2 linked regions of the Elephas maximus indicus genome follow. The protein of the gene in region 2 purifies or fractionates together with the protein of the main gene of each other region. This does not show direct contact. Links are inferred from orthologs where the notes say so. Each region holds a gene or a part of one and is shown on either strand. Other genes may lie near its edges. The genes, in order: DCTPP1 and EYA4.

Region 1 (11,801 bases), on a different chromosome or scaffold from region 2:
GAATAGATCATCTAAGAGCACCCAGTATCCACTGGCATTGTGAAACGGGCGTTGAATATATTCTCTCTTAATGCTGTGCCTGTGGAGCAGGCAGCGTTGCTTCTACTGTTTTACAAGTGGGAACTGAGGCTCAGAGAGGTTGCAGCTTGCAGAGACGAAGCTCTCCGTTTCCGGGGCCTATCCGTCAGGGCTGACCTTTCACCCCTTCTCCCTGCAGGTCCCGGGCGAGGCGCCCGCTCCGTCTGCAGACCCGACACGCCCACACGCGTGCCCGGACTGCGGCCGCGCCTTTGCGCGCCGATCTACGCTGGCCAAGCACGCACGCATTCACACGGGCGAGCGGCCCTTCGGTTGCACTGAGTGCGGCCGTCGCTTCTCGCAGAAGTCGGCGCTGACTAAGCACAGCCGCACACACACGGGCGAGCGGCCCTACGAGTGCCCCGAGTGCGACAAGCGCTTCTCGGCGGCCTCGAATCTGCGGCAGCACCGGCGGCGCCACACTGGCGAGAAGCCGTACGCATGCGCGCATTGCGGTCGCCGCTTCGCGCAGAGCTCCAATTACGCACAGCATCTGCGCGTGCACACGGGCGAGAAGCCGTACGCGTGCCCGGACTGCGGGCGCGCTTTCGGCGGCAGCTCGTGCCTGGCGCGCCACCGACGCACGCACACGGGCGAGCGGCCGTACGAATGCGCCGACTGTGGCACGCGCTTTGCGCAAAGCTCGGCGCTGGCCAAGCACAAGCGGGTGCACACGGGCGAGAAGCCGCACCGCTGCGCTGTGTGCGGCCGCGGCTTCGGCCACCGTTCCAACCTGGCGGAGCATGCGCGCACGCACACTGGCGAGCGGCCCTACCCGTGCTCAGAGTGCGGCCGCCGCTTCCGCCTCAGCTCGCACTTCATCCGGCACCGGCGCGCGCACATGCGGCGTCGCCTGTTTATCTGCGCCGGATGCGGCCGGGACTTCAAGCTACCCGCTGGCGCCACGGCTGCGACTGCCACAGAGCGCTGTCCCGAGTGCGAGGGCAGCTGAGCCGCCTTCCTGTTGCCGCAGGGCTGTGGGCGTTTGGCTCGGAAGGGGCATGATGGAGCCCCGACTTGGAGGCAGCAGTAACGTGGACACTCCTAGGGAGGGGCCTGGGGAAGTGGGAAGGCCTGGCTGCCCTGGAACTGAGAGAAACCCTGACGGGCCCCTGGGAACTGCCCATCTCCCCCTCACCGTATTTCTTTGGCCGTGTTAGTGAATAAAGTATTATATCTTCACCCCACCCGTGCCTGTGAATGAGGTGGGTGGGGGGAAAAGGAGGAAGGCTGGCATTTTCCCAAGGCTTAGGTGACTTGAGTAGTTAGGGAGCTAGGAGGGGGATTAAGCCCCAAAGGGTTCCTGGGGCAGGGTGTGCGCGTGCACGTGTGTGTGTGTGTGTGTGTGTGTGTGGGGCCGGGTCATCCAACACTTGGCTCTTGGTTACAAACGGCTCTGTGTTCTGCAAAGCTTGAACCTTATGGAGCTGTCTACGGATGGTGACACAGTAGTAGAAACTTTATAGCACTATGTTAAACGCTGTGCTTCATTTAAATATATTTGCTCATCTTCACCCTCAAAACATCCTAAGGTATGTCTTTTATCTCCATATTGACAAACGTGAATGGCAGAGCAGGGACAGCGGGCAACGGTAGTCTAGTGCATTGGAGCTCTGATGGGGGAAGTAATTGGATAGGAGGATCTCCAATGCAGTTTTGGAGTCTAGGGAGGCTTTTAGAGAAAATGATGTTTAAGCTGGGTCTTGAAGGTCCAGAGTATTAGGGTTGGGGGAGTATGGAGGCAGCCCCCAAACTGAACTTGCAGCCATCCCCTGGGGTGGGATGTGGGGACCTAAAGCAGGGAGTTTGGCAGGAGATAAACCACTGGGGGCCTTGGAAGCCAAGTTTAAAGGATCCACGGCAGCAAAGAAGCCTTGAGGGATTAGGAAGGGATGGATTTGTCCAATTAAAGAGCTGGCATCTGTAGCAGCCTACAGTGTATCTGGGGATGAGGGAAAGGAGATGGGGCTGACTTCATTGCCTAGCTTGGGTAATTGCAGGACAGTATCACTAAGACAGGGACACAGAAGGAGGGGCAGGACTGGAACAGAAGTGGGGTCAGTTGTTAGACCCCCATCTGAACATGTTGAGTGTAAGATGAATGGACCATAACAGCTTGGATGTATCAGGCCTGCAGTGCATGACGTTAGATCCTGAAGAGCACCCAAAAAGAGTCTGTAAAGAACAGCCAGAGGTAGGAAATGTGGAGTGGAAAGTGTCTAATGAGTGGTCAGCTCAGTCCAATGCTGCTCTGGTGTCACTGCGTTTGTCATGTGTACAGGAAAGCAATGGCAGTAGTTTCAATAGAGGAGTGGGGGTGAAAGCCAGCCAGGAGTAGGTTAGGGCATAAATGGATATGAGCAAGCAGTTAGGAGCGTAGACAAGCCTTTCGTGAGGTAGGGCTGGGAAAAGTATGGAGAGAATTTGTTGGGTTTGTTTTGCCAGTAGGGAACAGACTTGAACGTGCTGGTAGGAAGGGCTAGTGAAAAGGGAGAGAAGCTGATTAAGGGAGAGGGGATGAAATCAGAGATCAGCAAGAACAGGATTCTGTTATCACAAGAGGAAGAAAAAAGGTAGGTTTGGGGCCCAAAGCTGAAACAGTTCCCATCTGATGGATTCTTCTGTACCTGGGAAGTACAAATAGAGATCATTGGTTAAGAGAGGTAAGAGGAGTGAGGCCAGTAAAGGGGAACGTCTCATTTTACTAATGGGGAAACAGACGGGCAGCAAGTCAGTGACCGTGAGTCCTGTAAGTGTTTCAGAGGTCTTTCCCCCTGTATCACCCCACCCTGTGGAGGCAGGCTACAGAAGTCTCAGAAAAGGATGTGCCTAAGGTCACACTAGGTAAACTACGCACACCCAATGCTATCTTTAGGCCAAGAAGGGGAACAAGAAATTGGCTTTGGCAGGGGTCTCTGCTTTTTCAAATGGGCCCAAGCCCAAGGGAAGAGATCTGGCCCCAGTTGGTGCTGGGAATCAAGGGAGAAGGGTAGAGGGATCATACAGGACTGGGATCCCAATGGACAAGGCTGCGGTCTGGGGGGCAAGGCCTGCCTTAACCCACCTGCCTTAGCTGTGGGCATTTTCTGCTCTGGGCCCCTGAAAGTTGAGTTGAAAAGGCAAACAGATGATAACAATAACAGCAAACTCACAAAGTACTTACTATATGCCAAGTGTGTCCTGTACACTCTGCGTGTAGTAACACAGCTATCAGGTAGGTACTGTTACTTTCATTTTACAGATGAGAAAACCAAGGCACAGAAAGATGAGTGTCAAAGATGGCATTTGAACCCAAACTGCCTGGCTCCAGAATCTGGGCTCTTAACCAATACTATATAGCCAAAAAGAAGAACCAAACCCATTGCTACTGAGTTGATTCCAACTCAATGACCCTAGAAGACAGAGTAGAACTGCTCCAAAGGATCTCCAAGGAGCACCTGGTGGATTCGAACTGCTGACCTTTTGGTTAGCAGCCAAACTCTTAACCACTATGCTACCAGGGTTTCCAGTACTACCTACAGCCTCCTTTATAAGCCCATAACTGAGAAGGCACTAGAATTTGCTAGAAATTAGGTTTTTCTGCCCTGCAGGTAGGAGGGACAATGGAGAAACATGGGGATTAAGGGGCTGACACATCCCTGGTGCCCCTCTCCAGCACCTGCTGAAAATAGAGCCTCCCCAGTGACCCCAGGAAGAAACCAGAGGTTGCTGCTGAAAACTTTTATTGGGAGAGAAGACAGGAGGCTGTTTTCCAGAGGTCCCTGGGCCTCAGACCTCAGGAAGTGGGGCCTCCAGGCGCATGATCTGTTAAGAAAGGACCAGAAAGTTCTGTAACCAGGCTACCTTCTGCTTCTCAGATTCTGTGCTGAGTTGCACGTCCTGTGCCCACGTGTCTAGGTGGAGGCCTGGCCCGTGGACTCACAGGTGAGGTCTGTAGGCCCTACCACCTGGTCTTCGGAGACAGACCCATGGGGCAAGTCCGTATATTTGCAGGCAGAGCCACGGGACAGATGGACTGGGTAACGTCGCCGGTTTGTGTCCATCTTGGAGAGCACTGCTTGGGGCAGATCCACTCGACAGCGGGCTGCCAATGCCACCAGATAGATGAGGACATCGCTAAGCTCCTCCTGAAGGGCTGCCCGCTCCCTGGTAGGCCAGGTTTGGGGTCCAAGCTCCTCATCCGGCTTCCACTGACTGGGGAGAAGAACACACAGACAGACATACAAAGATGCTAGCTAAGACAATGGGCTCCTTGTCTCTCAGAAGTACCTCAGTCCTTGCAGGGATAAACACAGTCACAGTCACACAGACACACACACACACACACACCACCCGCCCCCCCCCCCCCCAAGAAGTTCCTCCAAGGCAATCCAACACATCTGGGCCAAGTGAGGGTGAGGAAGAGACCTCAACAGATGATCCACCCAGACCTCTGTGTCCCCTACCTGAGCCAAGAAGCAGAAAGGAGAACATTTCACTTGTTCAGACACAGCTTTGAGACCCAATTCCACTTCTTTCCAGCCCTACCACTGTTAGAGTGACCAAACCTCAGGTCTGGACTACCGCAGAACTCATCTCCCTACTTCTACTCTTGCACTGTGCCATCTTTTAAAAGCACAAATTACATTTTATCCCTCTCCTGCTAAACCTCTACAGTGCTTAGAGTAAAATCCACCCCTAACCATGTCCCCTAGGCCCTGCCTGCCTGACTCCCTGACTCTTCAAATGTCATTGACCCCCACCCCCCGCTCTCCCTCCTCACCTAAAGCCACTCTTTTCTGTCTCACAAACATGCCATGCTGTCACAGGGCCTTTGCACTTACTGCTCCTTCTACTTTGAATGCCCCACCCCCCATCCTTTTCCATGGCGGACTCTTTCCTGTTGTTCAGATCTCACCTCAGATGTCACCTCCTCAGAAAAGCCTTCTTCCTCCCAGTTACCTTCTCTCATTGCCTTTTATGTTCCTCACAGCATTTGTTACAATTCCAGATCTTTTTAAATTAGTTGAATTATTGTCAGTCTCCTCCCATGAAAACGTCAGTTGCGTGAAGGTAGGAACTGTGCCTGTCTTATTCGAGACCCCCTTGAGGCTAGATGACCTAGCGCACAGGTGATGCTCATACATCTGTAATGAATGAATGGCTTGCCCTCTGTTTCCACACACTTATACCTGTGCCCTCATTTTTCCAGCCCCAGTAACTGCCCTGGTCCAGGCCTCACCATTTCTTGCTTGGTCTATACCATCCTCCTTACTGGTCTCCCAGACCCCCTTCTCTTTGTGATCCAGTCTGCACTGCAGCACAGTGGTCTTTCTACAACCCACATTAGGTCAGGTCCCCTGCCCAACCTCTATCACTTACCAGTCCAATCCTATCTTTCCGGGTTCCTCTCCCACCCCTCTTCTCCACAGCTCTATCACTCACTCGATAGATAACTGAGTGCTTTAATTGTATGCCAGACACTTGAGACACACCACAGAACAAAACATACAAACCTCTGCTCTTCTTTACACTAAAGTTGTATCAGATTCTCCCTTTCCAGCCTCATTAACTGTGCAAAAGTACTTCTCCCTCTCTAGAATGCCACAGGCAGGTCTTCTAGAGGATACCACCTTCCTTTCTTCCTTCCCAGAGGCAAGAAGTAAAGTTGTTGCCACCCCCTCTTCTCAAACCTGGATCAGCCTTGCTGTTTTCATACTTTTCTGTCCCAGGAGACTGGACGCCCCTAGAGGGCAGGGACTGAATGAGTCATCTCTGTATCCCTAGTACCACGCACACAGCCTGAGATTGTGGAGGAGAAACTGAACCCATGACTGTTTGATAATCAAATAAATGCTCCCCCCCCCCCCCCCCGCATAACCTCTTCCGGGAAGCGTTCCATTTACTTACAAGAGCTCTGCCAGCTCCCCTACTTCCCCCACCAAGGCCAGGAGGAGGTTCCGAGGCTGGTGGAACTGGTCCCAGTCTCGTTCAGCAGCGAACTCAGCATGGAGGCGGCGGCTGGAATAGGACAAAGGGGTGGAAGCCCAGGGTCCCAGGGAGGAGAAACAGAGCCAAGGCAGTAATGGGGACGTGGGCATCAGCGAATTCTGCAACTAATTCCCTGGATGGACTTGGGCAAGTGATTTCTTCTCTGTGAGACTTGGTTTCTTCATCTATAAAATGGTGCGTCCCTAAACTCTAGCCAAACTTCACCCTCTTCCCCAATATTCCACCTCCTGCTGCAGCTTCTGTAATCTTCTCCACCTGGAACGTGGTTCTAAATTCTACTTATCTTGCAGAGCGCAGCACCAGGGCCGCTTCCCCTAAGAAGCCTTTTCTTGATTTTCTCCAGCAAGAAAGAGTATCTCCTACTTCTCAGCATTTCATTTGCCCCTGTCCTACCCCCTACTCTCGGTGGGCACAGGCAGTGTCCGACTCCGGTATCTCCCCAGGGCTGGGCATAAGGATGATCCTAGTATTACTCACGGAGCGTCACCCAATTTCCCCTGCCTCAGGTGTGCACTGCTGCGCCCATTTTGCAAATGAGGTCAGAAGGCTCGCCCGAGGTCAACCAGCAGCCGCTAGCGCCGCTGCTGGCCTTCTTTCCGACCACGTGGAGGGACCCTCCCCCATTAGGAGGGAGAAAGCTGCTCTCCCTAGCCTGGGATGGGCAACAACTGCTTACATGTCCTCGAGCGTGGGTTCCGAACTGAAGCTGAACGGGCCGGCACAGACACCACCCTCCCCTCCCTTTCCCCCATGCGTGTCCCCACCGACACCAGACATGCCGCCCACCCCGCCGCAGCTCCTAAAAGTACCGTAGAACCATGCACCAAGGGCCCAGCCCAAAGAGCCCCTGACCAATCACGGGCGTTCCCGATTGCTTCATGGGGCGGAGCCCGAGGAAAGACCAATGACTTATGTAGCTTTTGCTACAGCCCGCCCCCTTACCCGGGCTGGACCAATCTGAGGGAGTTTCTAGAGATGGCTTGTCAGCACCGCGCTCGAATCCTTCCCTGTTGGCCGGGCATCTTAAAGATACAGGTACAACGGGACGAGACAAAAGAGGAAAAAAAAAGGGGGAAGTGGGAGCGTAGGCGCATTACTACCCCTGTGAGCGCCAGATGGCGCCAAAGCAAAATAGGAGGGGGCATGTGTGGGGAACTCCAGAAAAGTAGGACTCAGAAATGAAGGGCTCCGTGGAGAATCCCAGAGATGGAGAGCTGCTAACCAAAGGTCAGCAGTTCGGATCCACAAGCCGCCGCTTAGAAACCCTTTGGGACAGTTCCACTCTGTCCTGTAGGGTCGCTATGAGTTGGAATCGACTTGACAGCAACCAGTTTTTTGGTTTCAGATCTCTCAGGGTTTACGGACACGGAGTACCCGCTCAAGACCTCCACCACACTATTTGGAAGAGATTGAGAGGAAAGAGCGGCTCAAGGTCAGACAGGACTAGGACCCAGGCCTTTAGTCCCACTTCGGTTCCCTACCCCAGCTGTTTCCTGTGTTTGGAAGGACTTAGCTCAGGTTACTGGCCTTAAGGGAAGAAATCAATCGGCCCTCCTCCCTGCCCTCAGTGTAGATGACAGGGCCCTGGAACACATGGCCTGCTGTGGTCCACCTATCCAGCCTCTTGAGTCACTGTTTGACCGCCCCCCACATATTACACACAGCAAGCAAAGCCTTCTTCTGGTTCTCTGAAGACCCCAAGCTCATTTACATTAGAGGATTTATGAGCTGACAAACTGTGGAATTGTTATTTCAAATCTAAGAACCGCTGAGTTATTGTTAATGGAAAGAGCAGAGATAAAACCCAAGAACAGGTTTAGTGGTGTAAATCATTACTTGTCTACTAAGGGCCACTATCTTGGCTCTCCAGGAGTTTAAAGAGGCCTGGAGTTTGGTGGAAGTGAAAGAATAAGAAAGTGAAGGAAATGGTGGAGAGTCCGATTTTAGAAATTAAGATCCCCAAGGTGTGGCAGTTCCACTTCTAGGTATATACCCGAGGGAAAATAACCCACTGCTGTTGAGTCAATTCCTATAGGACAGAGTAGAACTGCCCCATAGTATCCAAGCAGTGCCTGGTGAATTCAAACTGCCAACCTTTTGGTTAGCAGCCATAGCACTTAACCACTACACTACCAGGGTTTCCCCGAGGGAAAATAGTGCATATATATATATACAAGTATATGCATACAAGAAGTTTATTGCAGTCTCGTTTGTAATGGTGAAAAATTGAAATAAGCCAAATGGCCATCAACAGAACAATGAGTACATTGAGATAAATTCATACAGTTCCATTACATTGAATGCAAGCAACAGAAACAAGTTTGAACTGGTTTGAACAAGAAAGGGGAATTTATCATAAGGAACAAGAATGTCCTTTGGGATATAGTTCGGCCTCAGGAATAAACTGGAACTGGAGTAGCTGTTTTAAGCATTTTGCATATATTCTTATACAGTCCTCACAGAAACTGTGAGTTAGGTAATATTATCATTCCCATTTTATAGATAAGGAAGAGAGAAGTAAAGTAACTTATTCAAGATCAATATCTAGATCCTAAACTACTCCATGAAGCCATTCTTAAAGTAAACAACAGTTTAGCCCAATTAATACTTGCCTCAAGCATACCCCTTGCTGTCTGGATGATTCTGGCTCATAGTAACCCTAAAGGATAGAGTAGAATTGCTCCATAGGGTTTCCAAGGAGTGGCTGCGGGATTCGAACTGCTGAACTTTTTGTTCACCGGGGCTCCCAGTGGCACAGTGGTTAAGACCTCAGCTGCCAACCAAAAGGTTGGCAGTTCAAATCCACCAGCCGCTCCTGGAAGACCCTATGGGACAATTCTACTCTGTCATATCAGGTCACTATGAGTGGAATTGACTCAACGGCAATGGGTTTTGCCTCAAGCATGGCGCTCTTATAAAGAATATATGAGTGTAAACTGATAACAGTTAATCTAAAGCACAGATGAGAACTTCAAGGGGCAGAGAGCCTAAATTAATGGTGATGAAACAATCTGGATAGAGATGGAATGACGATACAATGTGAAGTACGTAACCAATGTTGTTGAACTGTTCACGTGGAAATTGTGAGTGGGTGTATGTTTGGTTGTGTATATTGCCACCAAAAATAAATAAGATATTAAACAAACAAAAATATCAATATCTAATAAGGTGGTAGAGCCAGGTTTCAAATCTAGGCAGTTTGACTTCAGAGTTTGTGTTATTAAGCATGCTTCAGTATATTGCCTCAGATAATGGTAAGTCGGAAACCCTGGTGGCGTAGTGGTTAAGTGCTACGACTGCTAACCAAAGGGTCGGCAGTTTGAATCTGCCAGGTGCTCCTTGAAAACTCTATGGGACAGTTCTACTCTGTCCTTTAGGGTCGCTGTGACTCGATGGCACTGGATTTGGTTTTGGTTTTTGGAATGATAAGTATATGAAGAAAATTTTAAATGTTATGGTATTTTAAACACTATGAAAAATGATTGGGGGCAACTTTAGATTTTTTTTTTTTTCTTTTTTAGATTACATGGTCCAGGGAAGATGTGATAGATACTGTTGGTTACCTACTTAACTGTCTTTCCCCCTTCTGCATTTTTACAGAACCATGATTTTGTTTTGGGGTCCACTCCTCCCCAATTCGTTCTACAAATCATTGTGGTCTCATTGCCTTGGCCATTGGTTTATGAGTGAGCATTGACCTAGTTCTTGACAATGACAAGTAAGAAGAAGTCTGTGGGGATTTCTGGTAAAGGTTCTTAATTCTTTAAAAAAAAAAAAAAAAAAGACACAGGATGTTTCTAACTTTAGATGTTGGTATGTGAGGATAGGAATGTGAGGAGAGCTAGCCATAGGCTGAGACTGGCAGATCAGCAAGGACCTGGATCCTTGATAACATTGCCAAGCCACTTCCTTTACAACTCCAGAAATGCCTGAACTAGGGGTTCTGGTTATTTAAGATAATGAATCTCTTAATAGGTGAAATCTACTTTTAGTTGGGTTTTCTGATACTTGCCTTTGAGAAAGTGACATTTAAGCTGAGCAAAAATCATGATGAATCAAGTTCTAGGTAGAGAAAGCAACCAATGGAAAGTCTTGGCATGTTCTAAAGTCAAAAAGAATTCCAGCGTGGGACGGGGAATAATGGTTGCATATGGCATTGGAGAAGTAAACTGAGGCCAGATCAAAAGGAGCCTTGTCAACCATGGATTTTAAGTTGGATTTTATTTGAAGTATTATGAAAATCTTCTGGAGAGTTTTAAGCAGGGGAGTGATATGATCATATTTTATATTTATGAGCTTTCTAGCTGCTGTGTTGAGAATGAATTAGAGGAGAGTAAGAGGAAGCAGAAAGACCAGTTAAGGAAGTTATTACAGTTGTCCATGCAAGAGATCATGGTAATGGAATACTACTCAGCCAGGAAGAGAAATGAAATCTTGATACATATTACAATGTGGATGGAGCTTGAAGGGTATTATGCTAGTGAAATAAGTTAATCATAAAAGACAAACATTGTATGACCTCACTTATATGAAAAGACAAGAACTGGCAAATGTATACAGACCAAAGTTTATTAGTGGTTCCCAGGGGTGGTAGGGAGGGGAAAGGGGGGTTATTGCTTATAGACTATTGAGTTTCAGTTTACAGTGATGGGAAAATCGAGTTAAGGGTAGGGTTGCACAGCCAATTAATGTAATTTCTGTCAATAAGTTATACATCTGTAAAAAGTTGAACTGGAAAAAGCTATGTGATAGATATATTTACAACAAAACAACATCATCAACAACAAAAGAATAGCTCCTAAGGCTGCTTATGTACAACCATGGGATTTGGTTTCTCAGTTTGGAGGTTTAGGGTTATGATTTCACGGGACATCCCAGTTAATTGGCCTAATAATGTGTTTAATGCTTCTGTTCTATCTCCTAGTTGCATAGTGCTTGGGGCTTTAAAAGCTTACAAGTGGCCACCAAAGGTACAACAATTGGTTTCTATTCACCTGGAGCAACAGGGGCAGAGGAAAGTCGGAAACAGGAGGAGAAAATGGGTGTGTGGCTAATTGCCTCCATGAACAATTGCCTCCTTTGCTATGCTGTTGTTAGGTGCCATCAAACTGGTTCTGACTGAAAGCAACCCTAACTACTGCAGAACGAAAAACTACCTGGTCCTGTGCCATCCCCACAATTGTAGCTAAGTTTAAGCCCATTGTTGCAGCCACTGTGTTAGTCCATCTTGTTGAGGATCTTCCTCTCTTTTGCTGACCCTCCACTCTACCAAGCAAGACGTCATTCTCCAGGGACTGGTCCCTCCTAATAACATGTCCAAACTGTGTGAGACAAGGTTTCGCCATCCTTGCTTCTAAGGAGCTCTCTGGCTATATTTCTTCTAAGACAGATTCGTTCTTTCTTCTGGAAGTCCATGATATAGTCAATATTCTTCATCAACACCTTTGGCCTTCCTTATTCATTGTCCAGCTTTGAGACGAGAAGAACTGGATGATGCCCAGCTACCATTTCTGAACATTTTGATCAAAGATTCTATAGAAGAATCCTGATTAAAAGGGGCCAAAGGGAGGAAAATGCAGAAAATAATTTCAAATTCTCATGGAATTCAGACTTCTTGGAGCAATGGAGACTGGATGAATCCCTGAAACTGTTGCCCTGAGATAATTTTTAAACCTTAAAGCAGAAATACTCCCCTGATGTCTTCTTAAAACCAAACAATAATAATAAAAAAA
Region 2 (11,801 bases):
CAAATAATGGGGACAGCTGCCTGGCCACAATACTTAAGGAGGGGCTCTGGAGTCTGATTGCCATGTTAGGATCCTGGATCTACCCTATTGTGTGACTAAGTCTCAGCTTATTTCTCTGTTAAATGGGAATAATAAAAGAAACCTAATTTATGGTATGGTTGGAAAGATTAAAATTAGCTAATCCATATAGACAGAACAATATTTTGCGTAAGGTAAATCCTCAGTAAATGTTACCTACGATGTTTTAACGGTGACAATGGTGTTGATGACAATGAAGACAACATACGCAGACAACAAAACTGCAACTACCTAAAGAATAAACTGATAATTTTTGTTTTAAAATATACTTTAAGTAGCCACGTGCTTAGATATGAAATTTCTAGATGGCCATTCTATCTTTGATGTAGTGCAATTTAATTTTGGAAGTACTCAGATGTAATAACGGCAATCAGACTTTCCTTAAATTTTCAACCTAGAAGAACTTCCCTCTTTAAAAAATAATATTAAAAACATCCTAACATGATAATACTGGGCTTTTCCCCCACAGAGGCCAAAAGTACATTAAGACAAATCTACTTACTGTGTGCAAATAAAAGTTTTTAAATTACGGATATGTCGTATTAAAATATTTCATATCGGAAGAAAATGAGAAGTCCTGACATTTTAATATGCTGTCTTTCTTCATCAGAGCTGTGCACTGAAATCTCAGGGTGAGAAAAGGGCCAGACCAGCACTGAAAGGTTTCAAATATCAAACTATACTAAGATCAATTAGCACCTTTCAATGACAGAAAAGGTTACAGTGAGACAGAGGTGTACACTCTGAGACTGTTTTAAACCACCACATAAATGTGGTTTTGATAACTCAAAATGGTTTCTATTTTTAAATTAATCAGTTTCATCTCTTTTTCTGGAAGAAGGGAAGGTGTTAGGGGAATAAGAATAGGGGTACTCATTTTCAGAACCTCTCTACATACTAGTAAAAACATGGCTGGGAATATGGCAAAAATAGCAAACTTCAAGACTAAAATGGTGTATCATCAAGGCATATATGAATGTGCAGTGCCATAAGCACTATAAAGTGACAGTAATGTTTACAAAGTCTCCAATCCTCTTAAAAGCAATCCAAGTTGCTTGCACTGCTTTTGAATGTGTTATTCTTGTTTATTTTCTTCCACTCAAGTTCAAGCTAAATGACGCCAAATTTGGCTCGGGGTTCCATTTAATGAATATGCAGTGTCCCTACATTAAAATACATCAAACTGCAAAATCCAGTATTACAGACTTCAATTAAATGCACCGTTGCCTCTGACCCATCTCTAGGGCGAATGCCTAAAAGGGAATGTTGTTTCTTAGCTCACCGGGAAAAATTCATGAGAGGCAGGTACACTGCAATGCCATTCCATTCCTCCTGGTGTTGATTTCATTCACCTAGTAACCATTGTAATAAAATCCCCCCCCACCGTATTTCTGAATACAATTAGTTTATGAGACTTTACAGGGAGACATATTATAAGAGTTTAGAATATATAAGAATAATATCCATTTGAAAAAGAAACTGTGGTGATTATATTCTCACTGAGACAGAAAAAAGGTGTTTGATAGAGGTTTGTTCAGCTCTTCAATGAGAGGATTCAAAACATCCCCTACTTTTGATAGCATGCTTTTCTATTTATTTCTTAAATGAGTGATCTGAAATATTTACAACCAGACAGTACCTAATTTTAGGTCTTAAGTGCTTTAACAGCTCCATGAAATATGATCAGCAGCTGCAATGCAGAACTATGGTGAATAAACTCCTTAGAAAGGGGGCCTGTTTTTACTGAATGTTCAGTGTTCCTGCATCTACCTAATAGAAAGAAAAAAAGAGATAATGAAAAAACATAAAAAATACTTGCATTCTTAAATTACTTAACACTTCTCTAAGTCTTGAAAAAGATTATCTCCCCTCTTCTCAAATTCTACATAAAAAAGTGTGAGCTTCCACTGGGTGAAAAAAGTTTAATTTCATTGTTTGAAAGTTAAAATGTAGAATCGCCAATAACCTAACTTTTTATAACAATGGTTATGGTTTTTCTATCCATTCTAATTTTCTAAAAACTGGATAATTTAATTCCAGGGCACAAAATTTTTTTAAAAATTAAAAACCAAGTCACATAAATATATTTTTAGATACGGCATCAGTTATTTGGAGCTTGCAACAGAGATTCAAAACATGAAACTGGACACTGTATTTCCCGTGGCTATGTAAAATTTATTTACACCCCAAATCACAACATAAACAAAAAGGAAACTCTTAGAAATGGAGAAGTTATATTTCTTTTTTGCAACCAAAATAAGTGTTTTAAATAAGTTTTAAAAAAACTTATAGAAAAAAATAAATTACAGCAAACTGACAAATCACTCATCTGCCAGTTTCCCAAACAGAAATTTTTATGCAAAGATAATTTTTTTCCAAACAGCTTCTAGAAATCCTTTAGAATTCGGCATCTGTATTTCTTAATAAAAATGATCATTCTCGAACCAAACTCTTTTCATACGAATCTGCAATTTTTTTTTAATTTTTAAATGTGAACACATTACTTAAAATAAATATTAGCTATGAATCTATACCTATATGAAAATTTTCATTTTGGGAAGGAGAAATTAAGCTTCTAATATTCAATAAAATAAATACTAATTTAAAAAAGAGAAAGTTGAATAAATGTTTTTATTCCAGTTATAATTGTGAAACAACTTCTAATTATAATGCCCTTTAAAATTTTTTTTAAAGGTTGAAGCATATTATTTTGAGGTAATTTACAAAAGAAAACAGGCTTTTGAAAAACACACTGATTTTAAAACTTCACCATGAAAGAAAATGGCATCTCCCTAATAATCAGGGAAAAAAGAACAGTTTTCACCTAACTAAAACTTTCAAAGCCACAACTGTCCAAGGTTTTAACTTTGAATAACTCACAACTTTTAATCAGGTGGAACAAACTATTCTTTATGGTTTACAATCAACAGTAAAAGTGTGTGCAGTTTTATCTGCATTTGGTATTTTTGCCATAAAAATCGGATTCTGGCAATCTAGCCCTACACAAAACAGTTTGTCTCTTGTTACCACCGCTTTTTATTTCTTGCTATAATTTTATTTGTAAAAATACACAAATGTGTTTGAATGCAGTCTTCTAAAATTCTATTTATCAAATATTTTGTTTTAGAATTCTCACTCCACCCCCCTTCCCAGTTGATTCTCCAGGTATAAGCTTGCCAAAAATACTTATTAAAAAAAAAAAAAAGGCAGTGTTTCTGCTCAGAAACACTGAGTAGTTCTACTTGGGGAAGGTTATCAAGTACAATCCTTGTCTTGAAGTTTTAAAAACAAAAACAACTCAACAATTAGAAACCTGTCGCCAACTTTTAATACTGTCAGTCGCGTAGATGTAAATGAAACTTCAGAAGCTGTCGATGCCCAGTCCCCGGTTGTTAAACTCTCCTAAGACTCCCACCTAAGCCCCGTAGGAGCCCTCACTGAAACTGACAAACGTTTCAAGAGTCCAGAAAGTGGCCGCTGGTGAGGAAAGGAACGAAATGGCATATTCGAGAAGATATATTTCGCTCCATCAATTACGTTGATCTCAGGCTGCCAAGCCAAAAGGGGTAAGGGAGAAAGAAAACTGTTAGGTATGAGCTCTTAATGTGAAACCTAACCTGTTGGTTCTCTTAAGTATCAGATTTTGGAAGCGTCTGTAATGACAGCCAGGAAAGCAAATTAATGGCCAATGGCCCACTGGGTTTGAACACGAGACTCCTGTTACCTCCTCGCAGATCAAGTACACAACACGCACGCACACGGAGGTGCTCCACGTGGAATGGTTCTGAAACCAAAACACACGCCCAGGCGCTATTTTGCACCTTGCCAGAACAGGCAGAAGGACCTGCACCTTCTTGGACTGCCCTCAGGTGAAGATTCATGAATGACTCGCTCTTGTTTGCTCCCGGAGTCGAGAGAAGCGGCGCCTGGGGCAAGGGGAACGAAGACGTCTCCAAACAACTCCCCTCCAGCCCCTACCACACACACACACACACACACACACACACGCACACGCACACAAAGCACAAGCCCAATTAGCCTTCGCGGGTCAAGAAATTGGACAGGGTGGTTGTGGCGAGGGGAGACATGCCACTCCATCTAGGGAAGCGATGACAAAAATTAAACTGCGGTCTCCGGTTTCGCCACTGCTCTGCCAAGGGACTCCCTCCACAAATTTTCCAAAAGCTACGAGTTGTTCCGAATATCGTATGCAAAGAAACGGAAATCCTTTAAGTGCTATTAAACGAAAATTCTGGTTCCTGGGTGGCGCAGAATAAAACAAGCATACACACCGTCTACTTTCCAACCAGGCTTAGCAACGCTAAAAAGCGAGTCCCACAACCACCCTACACCCAGCAGGCGAAACGAGAGAAAATCCACTCTCTCCAGCCAGGTCCCTTCGTTTGGAGAAGGTATAATCCCTCCATGGCATCCGTACCCCGAGCCAATGAACGCTACTCCTCTGACAAAAAAAGGCGCCTCTAATTTCAAGGACCCTGGCAAACTCCAGGAGACAGTCGGTCCACGCCACACAGAAAACAATTAAAGTGGGATTACTGCAGTTTAAAAGCCTGTAAGTGTCTGGAGTTTCAAGCCCAAGCACTGAACGTACAAATCCATCAAGCATCGGAAAACCCAGGCGCCTGGTTCCCTCCACCGGGCCCTGGGTCCGCATCCTTACGCCTGATAATCTAGGGGGTCATCACAACATATTGTCACAAGAAGGATGCAGGGGAGACCCTAGTACGCGATCCTCTGCGAGGCGGGTTCGGGGCGCAGGTAGGAGCGGAGCGCTGGACGGTGAGGGGCCGCCGACCCGGTTCCGCGCCGGCTTAGCTGTGGCCCGGCGCTGGACACGCAGCTCGGAGAGAGCCCTCTTTGGGTGCGGGGTTCGCCAAGACGTAGCGCGCGGTGCAGTCTCAGTTGGCAGGGCCTAGAGCGTGGGGTACTCCGCCTGCGACCGCCCGGGGGGACTCTGGCGCCTGCACATCGTCCTGCAGTGTGTCCTCCGACCCCGGCGCTCGGCGCCCGGGCAGAGCCGTGCGCACTTTCTCCGGCAGAGTTAGGGGTTACCGCACCTGGCCGTCCTCCCCCCTCCCTGTAGCTCCCGGCAGGGTGTCAGAAGAAAGGCGCACTCACCTCCCGCCTCCCGGACCGCCTCGGGATACTGAAGTTCAAGTGTCTGTCCCAGCTGCAGATCCGCGAGTCTCTATTTAGGTACTTATTCTTGTTCCTTCCTATGTCCGAGTTTTCCCTTCGCGCTGTGCCTCTGATGAAAACAGGACATCCCCTTCGGCCACCCCCCAACAAACTGCGTTCACAAGTCGGGGAGCAACGGGGCGGGGGTAGAAGCCGGCTCCGAGGGGGTGGAGGGAAGGAGAGGAGCCAAAACTCTTGACTGACGACAGGAAAAAAAAAAAAAAAAAAGTAGAAGAAAAGGAAAAGAGCGCGCGCCCCAGCCGCCGCAGTCGTCACACCCCAGCTTTGACCACAGCACCCTTCCCCTTCGAATGCGAGCGACAACTTCACGTGGACTCGCAACGAAGCTGTGCTCGGAAACCGTGGCGGCCGAGCGTGCGCCGCGCCGCGGGCAGCCTCGCACTTGCGCGCGGGGCGGGGACCGAAGGGCCGCCGCCGGCGCCCGCGGGCACAGGAGGCCACCGGGGGCCCCGGGACAGTCAGCCGGGGCGCGGGCGGCGGCGACGCACGGGGGACTCACTCCTTTTTATTTGACCTCGGGTGACTGCCTGTTGTCACCGTTCGTGGTCTCGAATGATGACCACCCGGGGCCTCGGGGCCTCGGGGCCTCGGGGCCCCGGGCGTCCCCGGTGGCGCCGCCGTAATCTCCACGCTCTCCGCGCCACCCCCACCCCACCCTACCCCCACCCGCCTGGCGCCGGCCGCGGCAGCTTGATGGCTGAGGGGAGGGACCCACGGCCGCGCTCCCTTCCCGGGACCAGGGAACCGCCGCTTTCCCCACCTGCTTCTCCGGGACAGTCCCCGGAATTTGCTCTAACTCTCCCGCTACCCACGTCCCTGGCTGGAGGGCCACTGCGGGCCCCCTGTCGGACTCTTTTCCACTTACTCCGAGGGAGAAGACAGAAGGAACTTCGCCTACTTGCAACAACGTAAAATAAAAGCCAACCCACGTCAGACTGGAGACCTCACTCTGACGCGAGGAAAAGGCCTTTTCCGTGGAGATGCATGCTATAAAAGAGTAAGCAGTTTGAGGACAGGCTGTGCTGGGAAGGGCATGGGCCCCTTCCAGTGCTGGGCGCAGGTATAGGCATCCCTCCCAAACGCCAAAGGTCAGGCAGTGACGACTGACTTCCAAGGCAGCGTCAGAGCTTCCCCAGGCACATTGCTGAGATGACATTTCATGCCTCAGCCTTCTGCGCATATATTATGTATGTATCCAGGATTTAATATTCTATATGCACATGTGTGTGTATCACACCAGTGACCACAGCAAAGTAGAACCATTCATAAACTTCACATCCATTTAATCCCCTTTTTCTAAAACCCACTGTCAATTTTAGAAGCCTCTTCTTCGATTGTCATAATAATAAAATGTTTTAACTTATTGAGAATTCGCTGAGTGTTGTCATTGTACTGATCACTTATGGTACAGGTGAGTTTGTTTAATTTTCACAACTCTGCGTGATTATTATTTTCAAGTCCATATAACAGATAAGGAATTCGAGGCCCAAAGAAACCTAACTTTCCCAAGGGCAAACCCAAGATTTCTAACCACAAAGCCTATGATTCAACAAACAATACCCACAGTGCTTTAGATGTGGCCTAAGAGATCACAAGTTAACCAGTAGAAGTTACTGCCATTCAAAGAAAATGTAATTTTAATATATTATCAACTAAATTATATTGTGAAAAAAGTTCAAAAAAAGGTATCATCTTCTACTTCAGCTAGCAACTACCATGAATGAGGACTGTCAAGGTCAAAAGCAAAAACCAATATTGAATATGTGCAGCTATAATTTATTTTTTAATTAGTGGGGCATCACTCTGCAATTATTAAGAGCAACAGAAAAGGTGGGGTCATAAATTTAAAATGATAGGGGTGTTCTTGAGGCCCTCATCGCTCACTGTGTCTTCTTTCCTGAATATTTATTTCAGAGGACATGGGCACTGCCAATCATAGCGTTTCCTTTTCTGGTTCTCAAGGTAGGAAGGGGTCTGGCATTGGTTTGGCCCAAAGGGGAATCGGAGCATGGCCTAGAGCATATTCTGGACTGAAGAGGAATGCCAGTTAATACACACTTAAGAGAAAAATACCAATGAGCAGATTTAATTAATTTTACAGATCTTATTCTCTACATTTTATAGGCAAGAAAACTGAGGGCTCAGAATTTGGGGCAACTTGCTAATAAATAGCAGAACTAAGATTCAAACCAGCCTCTGTGGAACCCCAAAGTCCACTCTTAGCCATTGTGTTATTATTAGTGGCAGTAGTCAGAAGAATGATCATTCTTTTTATTACTGTGTACATATTATAGGGAAACCCTGGTGGCATAGTGGTTAAGAGCTACGGCTACTAATCAAAAGGTTGGCAGTTCAAATCCACCAGGCACTCCTTGGAAACCATATGGGGCAGTTCAACGCTGTTCTATAGCATTACTGGGAGTTGGAATCGACTTGATGGCAGTGGGTTTAGTTTTGGAACATATTATGGGCAAAATATGCTACCTAAATGTATTATGAATCATTCAGTGCCTAAGAATGGTCTGTGGGTATAGCAAATAAACCTACTGACATTGAGTTGATTCTGACTCCTAGTGATCTCATGGGGATCTCATAGGGTTTCAGAGGCTGTAAATCTCTGTGAAGGCAGACTGCCACATCTTTCTCCCACAGAGTGGCTGGTGGTTTTGAACTGCCAACCTTTTGGTTACCAGCTGATCCCTTTAACCGCTTCTCCACCAGGGGTTACTATAGCAAATATCACCTAAGAATTAAATACAATGCTGAACTTAATACTCTCCTCATAAGACCATATATTTTTTTTAATTTCATTCTGCTACAAAACATTATGTGTTAGTTTTACTGATAAATAAAGGTGGGGAGATGCATAATTTGGATAAAATAAAAATCTATAATTCACTACATCATACTATTAACACAAATATAGGTTTTTTTTACTATGTCTCTTTATTCCCTTCTAAAACTATTAGATTTCCAGCAACATTGATCTTGCTTTCCAAGTTACTTTGCACCACAGTTTTTTATACATCTGCATAAGAATACATTTGCAGAAGTTATCCACAAACCCTCAATTGTATGACAATATCAGTTATTCCTTTTCTTATTACTACCTTCTGATCAAAACCAACCAACCAGTGCCATCAAGTCAATTCCGACTTATAGCGACCCTATAGGACAGAGTAGAACTGCCTCCTAGAGTTTCCAAAGAGCGCCTGGCAGATTTGAACCGCCAACCCTTTAGTTAGCAGCTGTAGTATGCCACCAGGGTTTCCATATATCCCTTAGACTCTTCAAATGTATTTTCAGCCTTTCTTTCCCATTATTGGAGAAAAATGTTGGTTCAAGATAGTTTTAGGTATTAGTTTTTAAATTCTGTGTGTATTGAATTATTGATCTCCTTGCCTAAAATTTACTTGAAGTATCAGAAGCTCAGGTGTCTTTTTTTAAAACTGGTTTTCTTTTCTTTTTTTTTTTTTTTTTTACTGTTTTTCATACTATCAAAGCAAACACTTCTGGTAAGATTCAAATAATTCATAAGCACATGATTAAAAAAACAAATTACACTTCTAAAGATGGTACCAATTAGCATTATCCTCCCTCTCCCTTCTCTCGTCTTCCCCACCTCACCCCTCCCACACACACACACTTTTGCTCTGAGTCGGAATCGACTCCACGGCACTGGGTTCTGAGTTAACCACTGAACAAGAAGCTATTCGACTGTAACACCTCATGAAGTGGCAGCATCTACTGGCCAAGTGTGGTACTGCAACAAAGTTCTACAAGACCCTGAAGAAACAAACAAAAGGCAAAAAGATAAGAAAGGAAAAAGAACAATGGGAGAAACTCAAAGAGGCTGAAAGAAAGGACTTGTGGGGAAATTCTGTCGTTAGAAATCTGCTGCCAAATTCTAGAAGCGATTCAAAAACACCAGCAGGTCTTGCATAACATGAATCAGGCCATGAGAATAGCCATAAATGTTCCACCCAATCTGAGAAAGGACATTTTTTGGAGGGGAGAAAAAAAATCTTTGACTTTAAAGTGAAAATCAGTGGAAATACAAGACTCACTTATTAGCAATTCCCTTAACCAAGCCCTCTGGATCGAGATGGTGCTGCCGTTATCATCTACTATTTGTTTATTTTTCAAATGTGCATGGCACTGCTTTGGCATTGAGTTCTGTGTAAATCAAATTAAACAAACAAAGCCCTCGAGGATCTTATAATCCAAAACATAACTTTTATTTTAATTTCATTTAAAAACAGCCTGAGGGGAAAAACTATGCCATCATTTTAGTAGGAACAGACTTTAGGCTTTAAAAAAAAAAAAAAAGGAATAAGACACTACATTCACCAAAAAAGAAAACAGAACACTGGATGATAGTAAAAATAATCCTAAAATGTAGTTGCTGTTGTTGATAGGTGCCGTCGAGTGGGTTCTGACTCATAGTGACCCTATGCACAATAGAACAAAACACTGCCTGGTCCTGCACCATTCTTACAATAGTTGTTATGCTTGAACCCATTGTTGTAGCCACTGTGTCAATCCACCTCGTTGAGGGTCTTCCTCTTTTCTGCTGACCCTGTACTCTGCCAAGCATGATGGCCTTCTCCAGGGACTGATCCCTCCTGACAACATGCCCAATGTATGTTAAGACACAGTCTCACAATCTTTGCTTCTAAGGAGCATTCTGGTTGTACTTCTTCCAAGACAGATTTGTCTGTTCTTTTGACAGTCTGTGGTATCTTCACCAGCACCACAATTCAAAGGGGTCAATTCTTCTTCTGTCTTCCTTATTCATGGTCCAGCTTTCACAGGCATATGATGCGATTGAAAAGACCACGGCTTGGGTCAGGCGCACCTTAGTCTTCAAGGTGACATCTTTGCACTTCAACACTTTAAAGAGGTCTTTTGCAGCAGATTTGTCCAGTGCAATGCATCTTTTGATTTCATGACTGCTGCTTCCATGGTTTGTTGATTGTGGATCCAAGGAAAATAAAATCCTTGACAACTTCAATTTTTTCTCCATTTATCGTGATGTTGTTCATTGGTCCAGTTGTGAGGATTTTTCTTCATGTTTAGGTGCAATCCATACTGAAGGCTGTGGTCTTTGATCTTCATTAGTAAGTGCTTCAAGTCCTCTTCACTTTCAGCAAGCAAGGTTGTGTCATCTGCATAACGCAGTTTGTTAATGAGTCTTCCTCCAATCCTGATGCCCCGTTCTTCTTCATATAGTCCAGCTTCTCGGATTATTTCCTCACCATACAGATTGAATAGGTATGGTGAAAGGATACAACCCTGCCGCACACCTTTCCTGACTTTAAATCAATCAGTATCCCCTTGTTCTGTCTCAACAACTGCCTCTTGATCTATGTACAGGTTCCTTGTGGGCACAATTAAGTGTTCTGGGATTCCCATTCTTCCCAACATTAACCATAATTTGTTATGATGCATACAGTCGAATGCCTTTGCATAGTCAGTAAAACACCAGTAAACATCCTTCTGGTATTCTCTGCTTTCAGCCAGGATCCATCTGACATCAGCAATGATATCCTTGGTTGCACATTCTCATCTGAAATCAACCTGAATTTCCGGAAGCTCCCTGTTGATATACTACTGCAGCCACTTTTGAATGATCTTCAGCAAAATTTTGCATGCCTGTGATATTAACAATATTGTTCCATAATTTCCACATTCGGTTGAATCACCTTTCTTGGGAATAGGTATAAATATGGATCTCTTCCAGTCAGTTGGCCAGGAAGCTGTCTTCCATATTTCTTGGCATAGATGAGTGAGCACCTCCAGCACTGCATCTGTTTGTTGAAACATCTCAGTTGGTATTCCATCAATTCCTGGAGCCTTGTTTTTCGCCGATGCCTTCAGAGCGGCTTGGACATCTTCCTTCGGTACCATCGGTTCCTAATTATATGCTACCTCCTGAAATGGTTAAATGTGGACCAATTCTTTTTGGTAGAGTGACTCTGTATTCCTTCCATCTTCTTTTGATGCTTCCTGCATCACTTAATATTTTCCCCATAGAATCCTTCAGAATTGCAACTCGAGGCTTGAATTTTTTCCTCAGTTCTTTCAGCTTTAGAAACGCTGAATGTGTTTTTCCCTTTCGGTTTTCCATCTCCAGGTCTTTGCACATGTCTTTGTAATACTTCGTTTTCTTGTGCTGCCCTTTGAAATCTTCAGTTCTTCTACTTCATCATTTCTTCCTTTTGCTTTAGCAGTTCAACTTTTGAGAACAAGTTTCAGCGTATCCTGTGATACCATCTTGGTCTTTTCTTTCTTTCCTGTCTTTTCAATGACCTCTTGCTTTATTCATGTATGATGTCATTCCACAACTCCTCTGGTCTTCAGTCATTAATGTTCAACACGTCAAATCTCTTCTTGAAATGGTCTCTAAATTCAGGTGGGATATACTCAAGGTTGTGTTTTGGCTCTGGTGGACTTGATCTGATTTTCTTCAGTTTCGGCTTGAACTTGCATATGAGCAATTG

Evidence for each region.
Region 1: the proteins of EYA4 (region 2) and DCTPP1 purify together in Homo sapiens (affinity purification with mass spectrometry; 3 studies listed by BioGRID and IntAct, with this or other methods). This does not show direct contact. The link is inferred for Elephas maximus indicus from reciprocal best matches to the Homo sapiens genes EYA4 and DCTPP1.

What each region holds. Positions count from the first base shown.
Region 1 is NC_064830.1:89,690,218-89,702,018, forward strand, and holds DCTPP1 (dCTP pyrophosphatase 1), read right to left. Parts: upstream 6,852-11,801; 5' UTR 6,847-6,851; coding exon 6,746-6,846; intron 6,079-6,745; coding exon 5,968-6,078; intron 4,273-5,967; coding exon 3,972-4,272; 3' UTR 3,790-3,971; downstream 1-3,789. Other genes in the region: ZNF771 (zinc finger protein 771), read left to right, coding at 218-1,030. UniProt on the Homo sapiens protein: Hydrolyzes deoxynucleoside triphosphates (dNTPs) to the corresponding nucleoside monophosphates. Has a strong preference for dCTP and its analogs including 5-iodo-dCTP and 5-methyl-dCTP for which it may even have a higher efficiency.
Region 2 is NC_064819.1:202,610,509-202,622,309, reverse strand, and holds the start of EYA4 (eyes absent homolog 4), read right to left. Parts: upstream 6,100-11,801; 5' UTR 6,059-6,099; intron 5,571-6,058; exon of another isoform or gene 5,218-5,570; intron 1-5,217. UniProt on the Homo sapiens protein: Tyrosine phosphatase that specifically dephosphorylates 'Tyr-142' of histone H2AX (H2AXY142ph). 'Tyr-142' phosphorylation of histone H2AX plays a central role in DNA repair and acts as a mark that distinguishes between apoptotic and repair responses to genotoxic stress.